Linked DNA regions of Drosophila melanogaster. Changing the gene in region 1 together with any one later gene gives a genetic interaction. Each region holds a gene or a part of one and is shown on either strand. Other genes may lie near its edges.

The links. A genetic interaction does not mean that the proteins touch.
Region 2: of Acsl (region 1) and l(1)sc, changing one enhances a phenotype caused by changing the other (phenotypic enhancement), as found in Drosophila melanogaster (one study listed by BioGRID).

What each region holds. Positions count from the first base shown.
Region 1 is NT_033778.4:8,672,390-8,682,696, reverse strand, and holds Acsl (Acyl-CoA synthetase long-chain), read right to left. Parts: upstream 7,128-10,307; 5' UTR 6,989-7,127; intron 6,621-6,988; exon of another isoform or gene 6,363-6,620; intron 6,226-6,362; coding exon of another isoform or gene 6,225-6,225; coding exon 6,090-6,224; intron 5,479-6,089; exon of another isoform or gene 5,363-5,478; coding exon of another isoform or gene 5,102-5,362; exon of another isoform or gene 5,036-5,101; intron 4,732-5,035; coding exon 4,669-4,731; intron 4,268-4,668; coding exon 3,829-4,267; intron 3,770-3,828; coding exon 3,563-3,769; intron 3,552-3,562; exon of another isoform or gene 3,487-3,551; coding exon of another isoform or gene 3,261-3,486; intron 3,204-3,260; coding exon of another isoform or gene 2,869-3,203; exon of another isoform or gene 2,744-2,868; intron 2,686-2,743; coding exon 2,211-2,685; intron 2,149-2,210; coding exon 1,976-2,148; intron 1,913-1,975; coding exon 1,649-1,912; intron 1,588-1,648; coding exon 1,312-1,587; intron 1,247-1,311; coding exon 1,092-1,246; 3' UTR 358-1,091; downstream 1-357. Other genes in the region: CG30355 (uncharacterized protein), read left to right, coding at 2,869-3,203, 3,261-3,486; UQCR-11L (Ubiquinol-cytochrome c reductase 11 kDa subunit-like), read right to left, coding at 5,102-5,362.
Region 2 is NC_004354.4:406,195-412,036, reverse strand, and holds l(1)sc (lethal of scute), read right to left. Parts: upstream 2,317-5,842; 5' UTR 2,242-2,316; coding exon 1,468-2,241; 3' UTR 1,220-1,467; downstream 1-1,219. UniProt on the Drosophila melanogaster protein: AS-C proteins are involved in the determination of the neuronal precursors in the peripheral nervous system and the central nervous system.

The sequences.
Region 1 (10,307 bases):
ACAATTTATTCAAAAAGTTCTTGCACATCTAAAACAAATGTTATTACATTTTAGTTTTGAGATATAGGCGTTTTGTTGGCCTTCTAGTGATTTCAGTGTTTTTATTATATTTTGGTACTAAGTCTTTCATTTGTTGCATATTAATTTTGACTTTTCTCTTTACGTGTTTTACATAATATATTTCATAAAATTCATTTGATGTCCTTTTTTTAACTAAATTGAGCTAAAATATATATTACAATTGCCTTTGTAACCTTTATGCCTTTGTGTAATTAAAAGTAATTTTTGGATGGTTCCATTTGTGTTTAGATGTATTTTACTCTGCGCCAAAAAGAAGCATTTGCAAGGGAAATTCTTAGGTTCTTTACTTTCAATTGTGGCTTTTAATTCATAATCAAGTCGCTTTCATTGCTGCTGTCTACATTTCATTACTTCAAGAATTCCATACATTTAACTTAGCATAGAGAAGTACACTAAATATTAGATTTATTTTACACATATATGCTTTTATATGAATGTGTATATCGTATGTACATAATTAATAGGCAACCACTTAAGCTTAATATAAAAATAAGTATTTTTCTGCAATATAAATTTGCCACACAATGTACTATAAACCGAAAACTGTACAGTATACAATATTCCTTCTCATCATCGGCATTCAGTTATCATTACCATTATCATTGTCAATCGGTTGAACAGCATTCCTAGCACATACACAGCGCATTTCCAAACCAAACTCAGCTTCAGCTACATATCTGCCAAGCAAGTCTTTGCGAACTTTATTAAAATGAGAAACGAGTAATTTTCGATTTCTAGCAAATAAGATAAAACGAAACGAAAAAGGCAAATGAGAACATTCTGTCTGTCTTTACATGCGCAATGTGGCTAATCGGTTCCTGCATGTACTGCTCGGCATTTAGATCTTTTAGGACTTAAGCTAGTTTGGTTTTGGATTTCGTATGCATGCTTATGCTGTGTGGGGTGCTACTAAAAACAATTAGTACACACTAGCTTCATTGCTGCTGCTTTAATGTTTGCGTGTTGTTGTCGTTGCTGCATCTGGTACCTCTGGCTTAGTACATTGACTTTCATGAGGCGTACATGCGGTTAATATCATGCTGATATCTGTCCTGGATATCCTTGCGCTTCAGCTTGAAGGCGGCGGTTACCAGCCCCATGTCCGGAGACCAGACCTCCTTACAAAGTGTGATGGCGGCGGGAACCTCATATTTTTGCAATTTACCTTTAAGATTAAACAATTTGCCATTAAAAACTTTGAAAAATACTCAAATCTGCATCGTAGCTTACATTTCCGCGCATGCTCAGCAATTTCCTTGAGAATAGCCTTCTCTATGATCGGTGATGAGCACAGCTCCTCAAAGGACTTATCACCCAGGCCATGTTTCTGTGCCAGCTCCTCCAAATGGTTTTGGTTGGGAACGACCAGCGCCACTGTGTACTGCTTTGTCGGATCTCCGTATACGCAAATGTTCTCGATGATTCCGCAAGTCTTAAGCTCAGATTCAACTTTGCCAAGGGAAACATACTCGCCGGCCTGCAGCTTAACCAGATCCTTCTTACGATCTGCAAAAAGCGTATTATAATAAAAAAAATGAAAGAAAAAGCACTGTGCTAAATAACTTACCAATAATCTTAAGTACGCCATCAGCTTGTATTTCGCCAATGTCGCCGGTTTTAAACCATCTCTGTCCATCCTCCTCAAAGAAATCCTCGTTGGTCTTGCCGGGCAACTTGTAGTATCCCTGGGAGACACACTCGCCACCAATGAGAACCTCACCCTGGGGATAAGGTTTATTTGTGACGCGGTAGTTGCCTTCTTCCCAGTTGACTAGACGGATGTCGCAGACAGTTAATGGTCCTCCAGTGCGTCCATAGGTCATATCACGGTCTTGTATTGGGTATAAAGTTATTTACTTGTTTTCAAAAGAAAGGTCGATCTGCGATCACTTACAGTCCATGACAGTGGCTCCAGACGTAGTTTCCGTAAGGCCATAGCCCTGAATCAGCTCCAAGCACAAGCAGGTCTTGATCTGCTCATGTGTATCTGCTGACAGAGGCGCTCCGCCAGACATGATAATGCGCACTTTGCCACCCATTAGCTTTGCCACCTTCTTGAACACCAGTCTGCAAGAAAAATAATAGTTTTAGTTAGCAACTCATGATATTTATGAGCACACCGTTCTTACTTATCAATCAGCGGCGTCTTGTACCCCCTCTGCACCCACTTGACTTTGTACTGGTAAAGGAATTTGAAGAGTGATTTCTTGAACGCCGAGCCAGAGTTAACCTTGTCGTTAATACCCTTGGAAATGCGATCCAATATCAGCGGCACCGAAGTCATGCAGGTGGGCTTCAGGACGGTGGCATCGCCCTTGCACCCGCGTTTGATCTTGCTGCTAGTGTCGATCAGAGTCAAGGGGGTCGAGTAGCCAATTGGAACGCCAGTCATGAGACACACACTTTCCGCAACCAATTCAAAAACGTGAGCCAGGGGCAGGAATCCGATCAGTACATCATCCGGATAGATAGGCACCATATCAACAAATCCCTTCATTGTCGCAATGCAGTTCTTGTGCGAGAGGAGGACACCCTTAGGTGTGCCAGTGGATCCGGAAGTGTACATGATAATGGCAATGTCATCTCCCTTGGGTGGAACGTGCTCTGTGGGATACAAAATAAAGTCAATTAGTACTAGTTTAATATTTAACAAATTCCTTGCGCATAGCACGCTATACATATGCTGTCAACATTTCAGTGCTGAATTAAAAGCGCATACTTTCGGTAAACAGAAAGAACTCTTTCCAAATTGTGTAGGGTGATTTTTTAGTTCAGACACCATTCGAAATGGCTGAAGTCCTAGAGGAATTCATCACCCTAACGCCCTTGACTTGTGTGCAACAATGCAATGCTTTACTAGGCTCAACATCAGGAAAGCCGAGAAGCTGCTCCGTATTTTTTACACTATTTGGCGTATACTGCGGCGTTCTCATCTTTCGGGCGTATCGCACATATTCCTCTAAGCAAGAAAGAGACGAGGAAAAGATAACCGAAGGAGTTACCCTTGAGGCTAAGGAGGAAGATTTGATCATAGGACCTGGTTCCAGTCTTGTGAACGAATATGTAGAACAAACGAAGCCGATTCTGTTGCAACCCGTCGGTTTTTCCAGTACTGACATGAGGTGAGAGTTGTAGATTAAAACACTGGATGACCCATCAACACATTCTGTCTCGATTAGATGGCGCTATTGCAACCACTTGCCGGAAGCAGAATTAGCACAAGGCTCTGATAGTGAAAACAGATCAACCGAAAGAGATGACATTGATAACCTCGAAAGGATGAGCAATGTTGTGGATGATAATGATGCGCAGAAGCCGGTTGCATCCACATCGATGGCAACGGCTCGGGCGCCTGAGGATAACGCCGATGGTGAACACGTCGAGCCCACACCATTTTCGGTGTGAAACACGATGCATTTTAGCAAATTTATCGTGTAATTGACATAAATAAATCATCTTTTAAGACCCTTTCAAAACGTACCAAATTTACTGTCCTGTCCTGTCTTGACAACTTGGTTAAACGGCAAGATCTTGACGCCCTCCTTGAAGCCAGTGGTTTCTGTCTTTTGCAGCTGATCCTCAATATAGATAATAGTCTTCACCAATGGGCATTTGTCGAGCAGCGTCTTAAACTTGGGCAGCAGATCATGGGAGGTGATAACCGTGGTGACTTCCGTTTCGGTGATGCCTGGCAACAGAGCAAAATATTATTTAAAAACCATACACATGGTAAGCCAATTTACTCACAATGAGCAACTCCATCATCGCCCAGCGTAGCATAGACAGTGACAATGGGCATAGCCTGCTTAAAGCATCCGTGGGCAGCTATCATCCATTCGGCTCGCGTTTCGGCAAAGATGACAATGTTCTCGCGTGGTTTCTGGCCAAGTTCTCGCAGACCGCGCCCGAAATTAGCCGCCGTGCGCTCCGCCTCGGTGAACGTCTTCCACTTGTAGTCACCGAGGTTGTACTTCTTGAAGACTCGACCGTTCTGCTGCACCTCATCCTCCTCGCTGAGGATCTGCCGGGTGCCCAGACAACGCTTCGACGTGTAAGTTTTGGCCACATAGTTGAATACCTTCTCCAGGGTATCGATATTCTCTTGCAGCATCTTCACGTGGACATCCCGTGGTGGATCCGTGGTCCGGTAGGTCAGCTCATTGTCATCATTCCGCACGATCTTTGCCTGGAAAATGAGCGAATTCGTGGCGATTAGTTTAACGTCGTGTTAGAGGTTGCGATTTAAAAAGAAACGCTAGATTAGGGGAGGGACCACAAAGTAGAATCGACAGAGAGATAACGGACATGTGAGTTTTCGAGGGTTTGTTGAGGTGAGGGCCGTAACTCGGGAGATCATGTTTCTTGGACCAACACCAAAAAGAGTCTCCAAAAAGGGGATTCAACTCTGGGTACGATCACCAACCAGTACCTGGAACATTCATTGTGCGTGTGTGGTGTTTGTGTGTTGTATGGGGGTGCCCCAATGTATGTGTGTGTGTGTGTGTGTGTGTGTTCGTGTAATGTGTGTATGTTCCATAACAGATAGTATTACTAAATAATAAAAAAACACATTTGCAAAAGTTAAACCTCAATGTCATCCGGCGCGTACTTGGACTCATCGACCAACATTTTCTGGTTAATGGGCTTGGCCTGTAGAGGAAGGAGGAGTTGAGATATGCGATGAGAAGCTAGTTAGCTGTGGTATTGCATAGAGTTACTGATTCCCGATTAAGGCATTCAACTCGTTTTACTTATTTTTTCTAAAGATTATGCAAACTGCACACAAATGAAAGCGATCTTAGATTCCGGCGTTGGCGTACCCTTACTAACCCATAAACCTTATCAGCCGACTGAAAAGGCCAACCAAAATGCGTTCCATTTAGATAGTGAAAAGTCAGATAAAAGTGTACCTCAGGTGGGACTTTTCCTAAACGAGTTATAGCTGGAAATATTTATGTTTTAGTTTGTTTCCTTTATTTAAGTGCCAATTTTATTTTTTTAGCATTGCTAGAATTTGAAACTATTTGAGTTTCGAGAAGAGACTGTGAGCAACGCAATGATCCAATTCAGCGACGAAGTCGAACAATTCCTCCATGCATGTCTCAGTGGTTTTGGACTTGCCATTCACACGATCATTGCACTCTTGATACTTGTTGTACAGGGACGCAATGTGACCTTTGGCCTGGCACTTCTCCCTAAGGGCTGCTTGCGGATCAACTAACTCCTTTTCGTCATCATCGGCCTTGAGGACAGGCACCAAAACCCGGCTATTAAACGCCATTCCTTAGGCTTTCAGTTAACAAGACTAATTTATTTTGCAGGAAATGTGATAAGCTAACACTCACTTCGAAATATGTTTTTTATTTCTGGGCTGAGAGCTAGGGTGTCTCACTTGCACAGCTCACTATGTGTGAATATTATTTCCATTTGAAAAGAAGGTAGAGATATTCTATGATTTCTTAACTTCATGGTTCTGTTATCAGGACCAACTGCGATTTCATTATGGCCTGACAACCTGTGCACTTGTCAAATACAGCCATGGCTGGAAGTCCTGACATTCGCGGAGTTATAAAGCAAAATGAAAGAAAGTTAATCGGATATGATAATTACCGCATAAAAAGCGAAGCCCTGATAAAGGCGAATAGATTGTGGAAATGGTGGACCTGGTCAATAAATCAAAAGTAGTCATATCTACATAGATTAGACAATGAAATGAACATAAGGAAACCACCTGGCGAGAACAAGGCTCGAAGTAAGGGAAATAAATGCGGAAAAGAACTTAATGAAACTGATAACCGAGGGTGCACTTTTTTAATAAAAACTAAAACAACTCGATTGTAGCAGGCCTCTGTACTTTGGAACGTGCAGTGCAAAGTCGAAAGTATTTCAACTACACGATTCTAGAGATAGTTACACCCCTCGTCGCACCGATTGGCCGGCTAAGTCTGTGGCTTTTTCCATTCGTTTCAACTAGCCAGATTAGTGGCAAGTCCTGTCAAAGCACTCACCTTCACGCGACGCGAGTCCTGACGGCGTTTCCAGGGCTTCTGCAGCACCAAGTAAACCGGAAGGGTGATGATGTCGTAGACAAAGGCGATCGCCTTGATCGCGCCAATAGCGCTCTGCACCCAGAAGCTGTCCATTCTGAAAGGGCAATAGAAATGTCAAATTAGTGGCCAATTGGTATGCAAATTTCAGCGGGGTATTTCAACTATTGCTTTCCCCGCCTCGTCAAGTATTCGCCCGGTTGACTCCTGCAACCATTCTCCCATTGCACCCACCCACTCGTTGTAGCGCCGTCGCAAGCCGAAAACCAACTGATATCACCACCTGCTGCTGCTGCCACTGTTAGTTAGCAGGTCTTAAAAGTCCGACGGCGGAAAAGGGGTAGACACTCTCACGCTCACTTTGGTTCTCGGTGCTCAGAAAACGCTTTTCAAACGGCCGATAACCGGTGAAGAGCTCTGAAGGTGTTCGGCTTTTTATCAGCTACAGATTGCTTAGCACTAACTAACGCGCCGAAGCCCGGACCGCTAGTAATCATCACTCTTTCGCGGCACAGAATTCTGCCATTGTAATAAACCGAAACTTAAGTGTGTGTGTCTGGCACTCGTCTGGACCCTTTTATACGTCCGGCATCTTATCTGCCATCTAAAACCAATCTAGTTGGCTTGCCAAGTACTTCATAAAACGTGTCAAAAATCAAGGGTATTTGCAATATATCATTGATTTTGAAGCAATCTTTATGGCCCAAATACTTTATAAAATGATGACCCAATTTTGGGGAAATACTTCCTAATTTTTCCAACGGCTAAATTCGGCTCTATTCTTAAAACTCTTATCTTTAGTTTATTTGTGTACTTATCGACAACCGAAAATAACGAAAAGATTTGTCGGGAACTCTTACTTTCTTTGCAATTCCATTAGGACCGCCGTCATTTTAAACGTTCTTGTCACGTTATTTATAATTAAAATTGGACAAAAACCTCATGCCAAATATTTTTAAATTTTGATTTATAATTATAAATCTGAACGACTGCCACCAGAACACTAGATAAACTTATTATCGCAATGCCTAATTAATTAAAACACTGTAAAGCATTTTACTAAGAATTTCGGACGCTGATTACTGATTATCGCTCGATGGCAGACTAAATGGAAAACCAGTTACTAGTAGCATACCAAGACCATACTAAGATAGAAGCTAGTTTAATAGGAAACGAGTCATGCTGAGATTCGCACTTAACAAATATCTATATATAATTATATAATTGAATATTATATGCCGGTCGTGGCATACATACATACATATGTGTCACTTTTTATAATTCCTAGTTGAAAACTGCACACTTGATAAAGACATCGTGTGTGAGTGCTGGCCTGATAAGCAAATCGAACGAATGCCTTGAACTTGGCTTGCGCAAAATGGCATGACGTCAATTTCCCGGGCCAATGAGCTTAAAAGGTTGCGCGCTATGTCAAAAGAAATTTAATAAACCGCAAATAGAATGTTTAAAGTTAAGAGGTGAAAAGTCCATGTGCTAAGTGTCAACTCATTAAAAAAAAATACCCCTACATTTGAGACTCAGCGTTCTTAATGGAATGCAATACATTAATTATATTTCCCAACTCCAAAAAATCCACAACCACAAGCTTACACTGAGTGATGTACTTATGAAATAAAAATACACAGAAAACGGGCTCAAAACTAAACAGGTCTTATATAATAAATGTGTTTACTTACTGCGCATCGTCTTCGATGAACATCTTGCTGCCTTTTCTCTACTTGTCCGATCTATGAATTAAATGAGTGTTTTTTGATCGGTAGTGAAAATGGTGGGTGTGAGGCGTATCCTCCAAAAGAGCCCAGCTCTGATTAATGGCAAGAACAAACGAACAATGGACGCAACAATAATACAATAGGATGATGTCAGTTGTTCCTCTCCAGATGTTCAGTTTGTAGTTTCACCTGCAACCGATAAAAGAACAAATATATGCATTTATGTAGTGCTAATGAGGTAGGACGACAAATGGGGAGCGACAGCAGACGAGGAAGTCATGGAAATCAGCATTGCTGCATTTAACCGATACCAGAGCGTGTGATGACATAATAACAAAGCACCTTTGAGCACACAGAAAATAACATAATTCTATAGGCTGCTATCTAGCTTAGGCTATATTATCTTAGTACAGATAGTAATTTCCCAATTGCATTCTTAAAATAGATTATCATAATCAAACCGCGCGTAAATATATTTTTTTCCAATTAGCCAACTGTGCGGCCTTCGTAAATATTATAATCAAATCAGAACCTGAAGTCCAAACAAGTTGTTGTTACGCTTTCGGTATTTCTGGATACTTGCCAGAATATCGAAACGCTGATAATAAGAACATAAAAAGCGATTAAAGATATTATCAACAGAGAATGGGGTGTATACCTATAGGGAAAATGTAAAATTAGGCTGCCAAGAGAGCGATTGCGTAATCGGATTCTCAACCCCCTCAAAATCACTCTCTCTTTCATTTCGCCCATTAGCTAGGCGGAGAAACATTGGCATAGGTCGGGGACATCAATAGAAACTAAACAAATTCTTTGGCATTCATTTACACAACTTACAAAGCGCTGTTTTTGCTATTCGTTTATAAAAAAAAGTGTTGAAGGCAAGGGCCAAAGTCCGACGCACCAAGGTTTATCCGCTCTGAAAGCCGATACCAATTGGTTCCCTTAGAATCTGCCCGCCCTGATAAGCAACGAAGAGCATTCCACTCCAAGGCGCCAAAGTTCGCCTCTTATGCAACCGCTCAAAACTCGCACATCACATAACATGCGAGCGATACAAAAGAAAAGGGTATACGAAGTCGAAACTCCGTTTCAGTTTGCTCCGGCGGAGTGCATTGAACTGGCCCCAAATTACAGATCTTCCCTCGAAACCCTTGACACATGGTTAAAACGCCGAGCAGAAGAGTCGAAACCGTAAGCGTTGTGAATACGTGTTTTGTTTGCGAAGAAAGATAAAATGAAAACAAGATGAAGGCTGCGAAAACAACAACACATTTCGGTATTTAAACAAAGTATATGCGAAAGAAAAAGCTTTGCAAAACAATCAGCACTGTGGGTCAGGAAAGTGGTTTAGAGTGTGTAAATTTGCTTCATTTCAGTACACTTTCCTTATGGACATTCTTCAAAAGTCCTTTCAAGCTGATAAATAATAAATAAACCTTATTTTTCTTTCTAGTTAATGTCTAGTTAAATCTAGTTAAAGTTCAAGCACAATGAAAATCTAGACACCATAAACAGCTGTATTTTTTCAAGTGAAACTCGAACAGAGCTCACAATTTTATTCTTTTGCAAACCACTGTGCGAAGTTCAAAACGTTTAAACGACGCGTACATGGGCGAAAGTTGTAAAATTGCCTTTGTAGGTTAATGAATGAAAAATAAATGAGAATATCAAATCCATGGGTCAGTTGCAGCCATTCTGAGCCTGATCCCGGGGGCAAAGTTGGAGCTCTAAGTACACAAAAAGAGACCTATGTGTGAAATGATATTGCAGAGAATGGCGTGTTGGATGCAAAGGTTATGCCGAGTGTTCTGTCTAACTAAGCCAATCATGGTCCGCTTAAAAACAATAAGGAAATTGTGCACATTAAGCCTGTGATTACTGTAATCCGAACTTTGGACCGCCCCTCTGGTCGGCGATGTGCGATGTCGCACATGTGAAAAAATTATGGTGGATGTGCCTAAATAAGCACTGCTCTGAGAATTGATTGAATCAGAACAGACCCGATTCGTAAACCTTGTGGGTTAGATAACACACCCGGCGTATTCGTAATGTCTTACAACGAGCACTTTAACCGGTACAGAAGGTCGACCAGCCATCAGACGAGTTTTCGAAAGCAAAAAAACACTGAGATTGAAACTAAATTTAAAATAACACTTCCAAATTTAAGCATTGTTAAAATGCTTTTATAACGACAGTATTGCCAGGAAGTTGTTATACTGTTGTTGTTATACTATAAAATCGGCCACATCAGAATAAACACACAGTAATATAGAATGCTACGGTTCGATAGGGGTAATTTATCGATTAGCCTCACGGTTAAGATAAAATAAACGTTCGAAAAACAAGATTTTAAGATAGACTTTTCACACAAACAGATTAACCGATAACCCAATGCACTTGAACATTTTCGGAGATCGCGTGGTTACCAAGTTACCAATTCCAG
Region 2 (5,842 bases), on another chromosome or scaffold:
CAGAGGGAAATTCGAGGATCAGTAAGCGAAAAAGATATCTTTTTGTGCAGTGACCTAACATTGCATGAAAATCGGAGTATAGCCTGTTAAAGGACACTTGTAGCTTAGCCTTGTATTTGGACACCTATATCGGATCCTTATCCTGGCAGGTCCTGAATTCACAATCCTGTTTCCGCTTTAAGCTTCTTTTTATATCCGGCAACAATGGACCACAAGAGAGTTTCACTCTACTTCGTCTTGGTCTTGTTTTCTGGATTTATCTTAAGCTGACATCCAATTACATTTGCCATTGTCCTCGTCCACTACCTTCGTTTTTCTCTTCCGTTTTTTTTTTTTTTTTTTTTGAGGAACATCTTTGAGTTTTTGGCGGTATTGCACCGCTTCCTGTTTTATTTAGAGTTCTGTTCTTATCACATCCTCCTTTGGTAAACTCAGTCCAAGTTGAATGCCGTTTCCCTACGCACGTGTCCAGCGCAATTGGCAATTTGCATATTGTATGCTAAATAATGGGTGTGGCATCTCCTGCCTAGATGACATTCCTGCATATTCATTTAATGGCCCTAATATTTCACCCTTGGGGTGGGTTTACTTTCCAATTTTTAGCTACGGGGTTAGCGGAAGTGCATTTCACGGCTCGCCGACGTCGTCCAGCTTGATGAAAAACTTTGTGGCGGTGTGCGCCAGCCACGTGGATTGTGCGAGTCTTCAAGTACTGATCCTTGGACTAGGACAATTTCATCCTCTCAGGCGTGACTGCCTATTTCCGGGCTATTTACGCGCCATTAACAATTCCCGGCCGAATTGTAGCTCGTTAGGGAACCAATCATGAAAATATTCGCTGTTGTTTCCTGTCAGGTGCTTAACTCTATGTTGGTTACGAATTTTGAGTGAGTCATGTCCACGCTCCAAAAGTAATTGAATATAAATAATAAATTGGGTAACTTTTTTGTGAAATTATTATTTCTATCGCTAGTACCATTATTAAGCCTGAGGCCAAAACAGCTAAGCTAAAAAATAATAATAATAATATAAAAATACATAAATTAAAAACGAATATCATAACATATATATAGTCAAAGCAATGCTTCAAAATGCAGATTGTTTAAAAACCTTTTTGGCTCTGATGCTGGTATGAGAACGAGAACTCGTTGTAATTACCCTACATGACGATCTGAATATATTTACGAGTAAGTGATTTCAGTAAAAAACATTTGGAATTAAATTTATCAATATGTTTTTATTTTGGCTTAAAAGTAGTTAGTTTAGTGTCTTCCATGCTTATAACAAACTTATAACTATGAAAAAAATATGTCTTCCATTGCGTTAAAATATAATAAAAAAAAATATGGGGTAACTTAGAGGCTAATGTGAAATTTGAGACTTGGTTTTACACTCACTAAGGCAACAATTTAGGGTATTTACAGTTTGTACAATATTTGTTTGTTTGGGACTTTTAGTAAGACCCCTTCACTGCTCTTGCCAAGATGAAATATAATCGAGTAGCTCCTCGTCATCTGGCTGCTCGTCACTGAAGCTATCAAAGGAGTCGAATTTGAGGTCCTGCTCTTGTAGTTCCTGTTTGATATAGCCACCTCCGGAAATCTCGGATCCGGAGTACGACGGCGTGGGCGAGGCGGAGTGGTACGAGTGGGATTGGGCAGACTGGGTGGCTCCCGTCAAGAACTGTTGCGAACTGTCCAAACTATCGTTGTAATCGTTATAGCTGCTGCCATCGTTGCTACTTTCATCGGCGGAATTGTAGATGTGACGAGTTGATGAAGCAGTGCCATCATCAAGCATGTCCTGTAGTCCTCGAATATATTCAACGGCGATTCGCAGTGTGTCCACCTTGGATAACTTCTTGCTGCTACCACGTCCTCCATTGGACAGCGAGTTTACCACAGTTTGAGGCAAATGCTGGCGGAGATTGACGAATCCATTGTTCACCTGCTTCACGCGATTGCGTTCACGGGCATTTCGTCTGGCTACCGATGGCAATTGCTCGCCATAGGGCATGTTATTGTAGTTGAACTTCTTCTTCTGGGAGGACAACATGGGTCCAACATTGGACTGTTGACTCTGCTGCATATTCTGCAGTTGGCTGGTACCCAAAGGTATTTTCGGAGCAATCAACTGGTGCTGCTGCGTTTGATGGTGATGCTGATGTTGCAGCAAGAAAATGTTACTGTTGGTCAGCTGGTAATGCTGCTGCTGGAATTTGCTGCTGCAAATGCTCGTCATGGTAATCCTTGCGAGAGTTTTCTAAGATTTAGTTTACAGATGTTGACTGTGTGGAATCAGATTCCGCAATGATAATTGCTGTTCTGATCTAGGGCTTTAAATACCCGGCAGTGGCAGAGGGAAACGCGCCGCGACAGAGGCAGCGACTTCGGCAGAGGAGCTACAGGGGTTGGTACGGGGTCGGATCCTGGCTACCTGCCCTCGAAAAACCGGGACCTAAGTCCTTTGCACAAGTGATCGTACATTTTTCCTCTCTTTCTAGGGGTTCTTTTTCTGTGGTGGGTGCCTCTATTCCTACTCAGTCTCTGTGTGCCTACCTACCCATCCTTTTCCCTCTCCCACACACTCTTTGTCCTTTGTGTCCGTCTACATAATGCATTTTTTCCTTTTGGGAAAATTTTAAATCTCAGATCTGCAAGATCCTTGTCATGGCTAAAAAAAAAGATTTTGAATGCACTTCCACTTTTGTCGAATGTCGTTTGCATTGAAAGCGAAAAATAAAGGAGAGTGAGATCTTGGAAGGGAATTTGATATAAAATGTGATCCATCAAATGAAAGAAAATGATGCGAAGGCAAAAGAAACAAACTTAAAAGACCATGTCGTGGGACTTTCACTGTCTTTAAAACTGCGTATCCACTTTTATATCCTGTAATGTTATGAACCTTCATTAATATTTTTTCTGACCCATCTGCATTTGACACGTGCTTCCGATCAGTCCGGTGCATTAGCATAAGCTTCAAAACAATGATACATAACATCGCAGAGCGGCGCAGACAAAATCCCACAAGTGTGTGCTGTATCATGAATACCAAGCGTACTATAATAAGTAAGGGGACGGCCAGACAAATAAAAACGAAACCATCACAAAGGCATTGAATATTGACAGCAGTTGGGATCAAAGTTGCAGTCGAAACACTCTTACCCTTTCATCAAACGCTTGTGATACAAGAAAGCGATCTAAATTTGGGCTGTGCACTCGACAAAAAATGTAATATTTCTGACTGGTTAATATATGTCTTGTATGAACAAACAAAAACTGAATTCAATTAATTTGCATAACTCATTAAATCGTATTAAGGCTACGATGCAATTTAAAATATTTTTTTGGGAAAATATTTTGATAGTGTTGCATTATTGAATAAATATTTTCTTTTAAAGATAATTATTTCGTGGAATACTTCTAAAAATCGAATGGCAGTTTTGATTTTAAAGCATGAAGCATTTGTGTTGCTTTAATATCAAGACATCACTCATAATCAGGTTTAGTTCTAAATTATCAAATTAGTATGTCGAAAAGCATTAAAAAAGGTCTTTAAATGTTATTTGACTAGCAAATTAGTATTTCAAAAAGCTTTAAAAAATGTTATGTCTTTATTTATTTGCTGCTTGCTGTAGGGTTGTGACTTATTATGCCCAGTCCAAGAAAGTAAAGTTATTCCGTTTACCAACAATCCCCCTGCAATTAAATTAAGCATTCATAAATCTGTAAGGAGCTGAATCTGAAACAAATTTCTGGATTCGCAACTTGCAACTTTGTTGCAATGGGAAGGCAATACCGTTACCGAAGACGGATAAGTCGAGTTACGAGATTGCTCCCATAAATGCATAAAATCTTAAAAAAAGCCATAAGCAGCTGCCCTAAAGGAGATCAGAAAATTAGAGGAAATTGATCCCACAAGAATGAACGCTGAAAATCATAATAAAGCAAAAAAAAAAAAAAAAAAAAAACACCATTTACCTAATAATTGGTTTTTAAAAGTTGCTACCGAATTCGTTTTCTAATGCATTTATAATATCTAGAATAAAAATCTTTGCGTCATCACCTTTGTATTTCTCTTGGTTCGAAGCAAACCCTTTTCAAATACTCTTTTAATATGCTCCAAACACACCCACCAAAAAATAGGAAAGTAAAAAAGGTTTTGGTTTCAATTTCATAAGCCTCGGACACCATGCCCTATAATGTTCAGTGATTAATTAATCCGCATGAGATCAGAATAGTGTTGATCCCAGTTTCGTTTTTGGGGGACGCAGTAAATATAAAATAGTGAACAACTGGCCAGGGTTGTCAGGTTCATGGTTTCCCAGGTTTCCAATCAGCTAGTGTACCATAAAGTGGCGGTCTCTATATAGTTTCAATCTTCCAATAAGTTGCTGTACAGCGACCTCTATTGTCCAAAGGTTTCTCAAGGGGATTCTAATTAGAAAAGTAGCCGACAAAATGAAGTTGACAAAAACATACATGATAAAAATAATGTTAATTGTTTTTATATGAGGTCTAGTCTATGCTTTTACATGTTCAGTATATGTCACATACAGCAAATGAATATTGTTAAATTATTTATTTGCTGTATTCTTACTAATGTGAAAATGTCCTTTATGTCTTGAAGGGGAGTGTACAAATCTCGTTGACTGTTGACAAAGAAAATAATTATATATTTCATGTGCTCTCCGCACATTACCACTAATTAGAATTCAAAACAACAGCTACCGAACTAAAAATCCGTGACCTCCGAACCGGAGAAATCGAAATAGGAGTAAGTTATTCGGATTCCTCTCACGTACGCCAGAGGCAAGTGTAAAACGTGATAGACTGGATCGCCGGTGGGTTACTGGCGATATCATAAGCGTGAAATCTGCCAAATTCGAGCACAGATCCGTATCATCTGTCATCACATCAATTTGGCTTTTTATGGGTGTTTTTTTGGTTATATCTCCTGGACGGGATCAAGAAGCGGAAATTGTCACTTTTACTTGTGATATTGCCGGGTCTTATTTTAAAATGAAAGCGCTGACGCAGCTAATTTGGATTGGATCAATGGATGATTTCCAAAGATGCTATTTACTTGATCCACTGTTTCGCACGATCACACCTAATAACGGTAATTTACACGCACGCTACGTGCAATAATTGCCGCCAAATGTGCTGACAGGCACACAGGATACGACTTCTCGCTCCTTCGTTGCCCCAAAGGCCAAAAGCTGAGAAACCCAAAGCAAACCCGTAGCCAAAGTCAAAGTCAAACCGCGCATCCGATGGAACTGAGTGAGATAACAGGCAGCTAAATCAGCAGCAAAAGCGGCAAAAGGTTCGGTTATTAAAAAGGGCAGTCAGTAGTATCTGACCAAGTGGAAGATGGAGCGGTGCACGTACACCGCGGTTAAAAATAATATAATAATGACATTTCTAGACTTATTTTCTGAACAATAAGTTTCTTCGCATTCACATCTCTGCCTATTTTACCTATCGATACTATTAAAGCTATGCTTTTTTTTAAACTACAAGATTGCAATGTCAACACCTTTTTCAAATGGCAATAGTAGACTACATGAGCTGGCTATAGTTACCGACAAACGACAGTCCACAAAAATGCGTAAATCAATGGCTGTATTGCGTAGATTTTTGAACAGTGTTCTTTGATATCTTGGCGGTGGCGGCAGTGCTTGATTGCTGTGGTAACCGAATATGCCGCACCAAGTGCGAAAAAATGTTGTCGAGGTGTGAAAAATAACTGGGCAGGAGTGCGTGTACATGGTGGGTTAAGGGCGTCGGGGTCCATGGGGATTCAGGGTTAAGGTGGTCAGGTTAAATAAGGGGCTGGA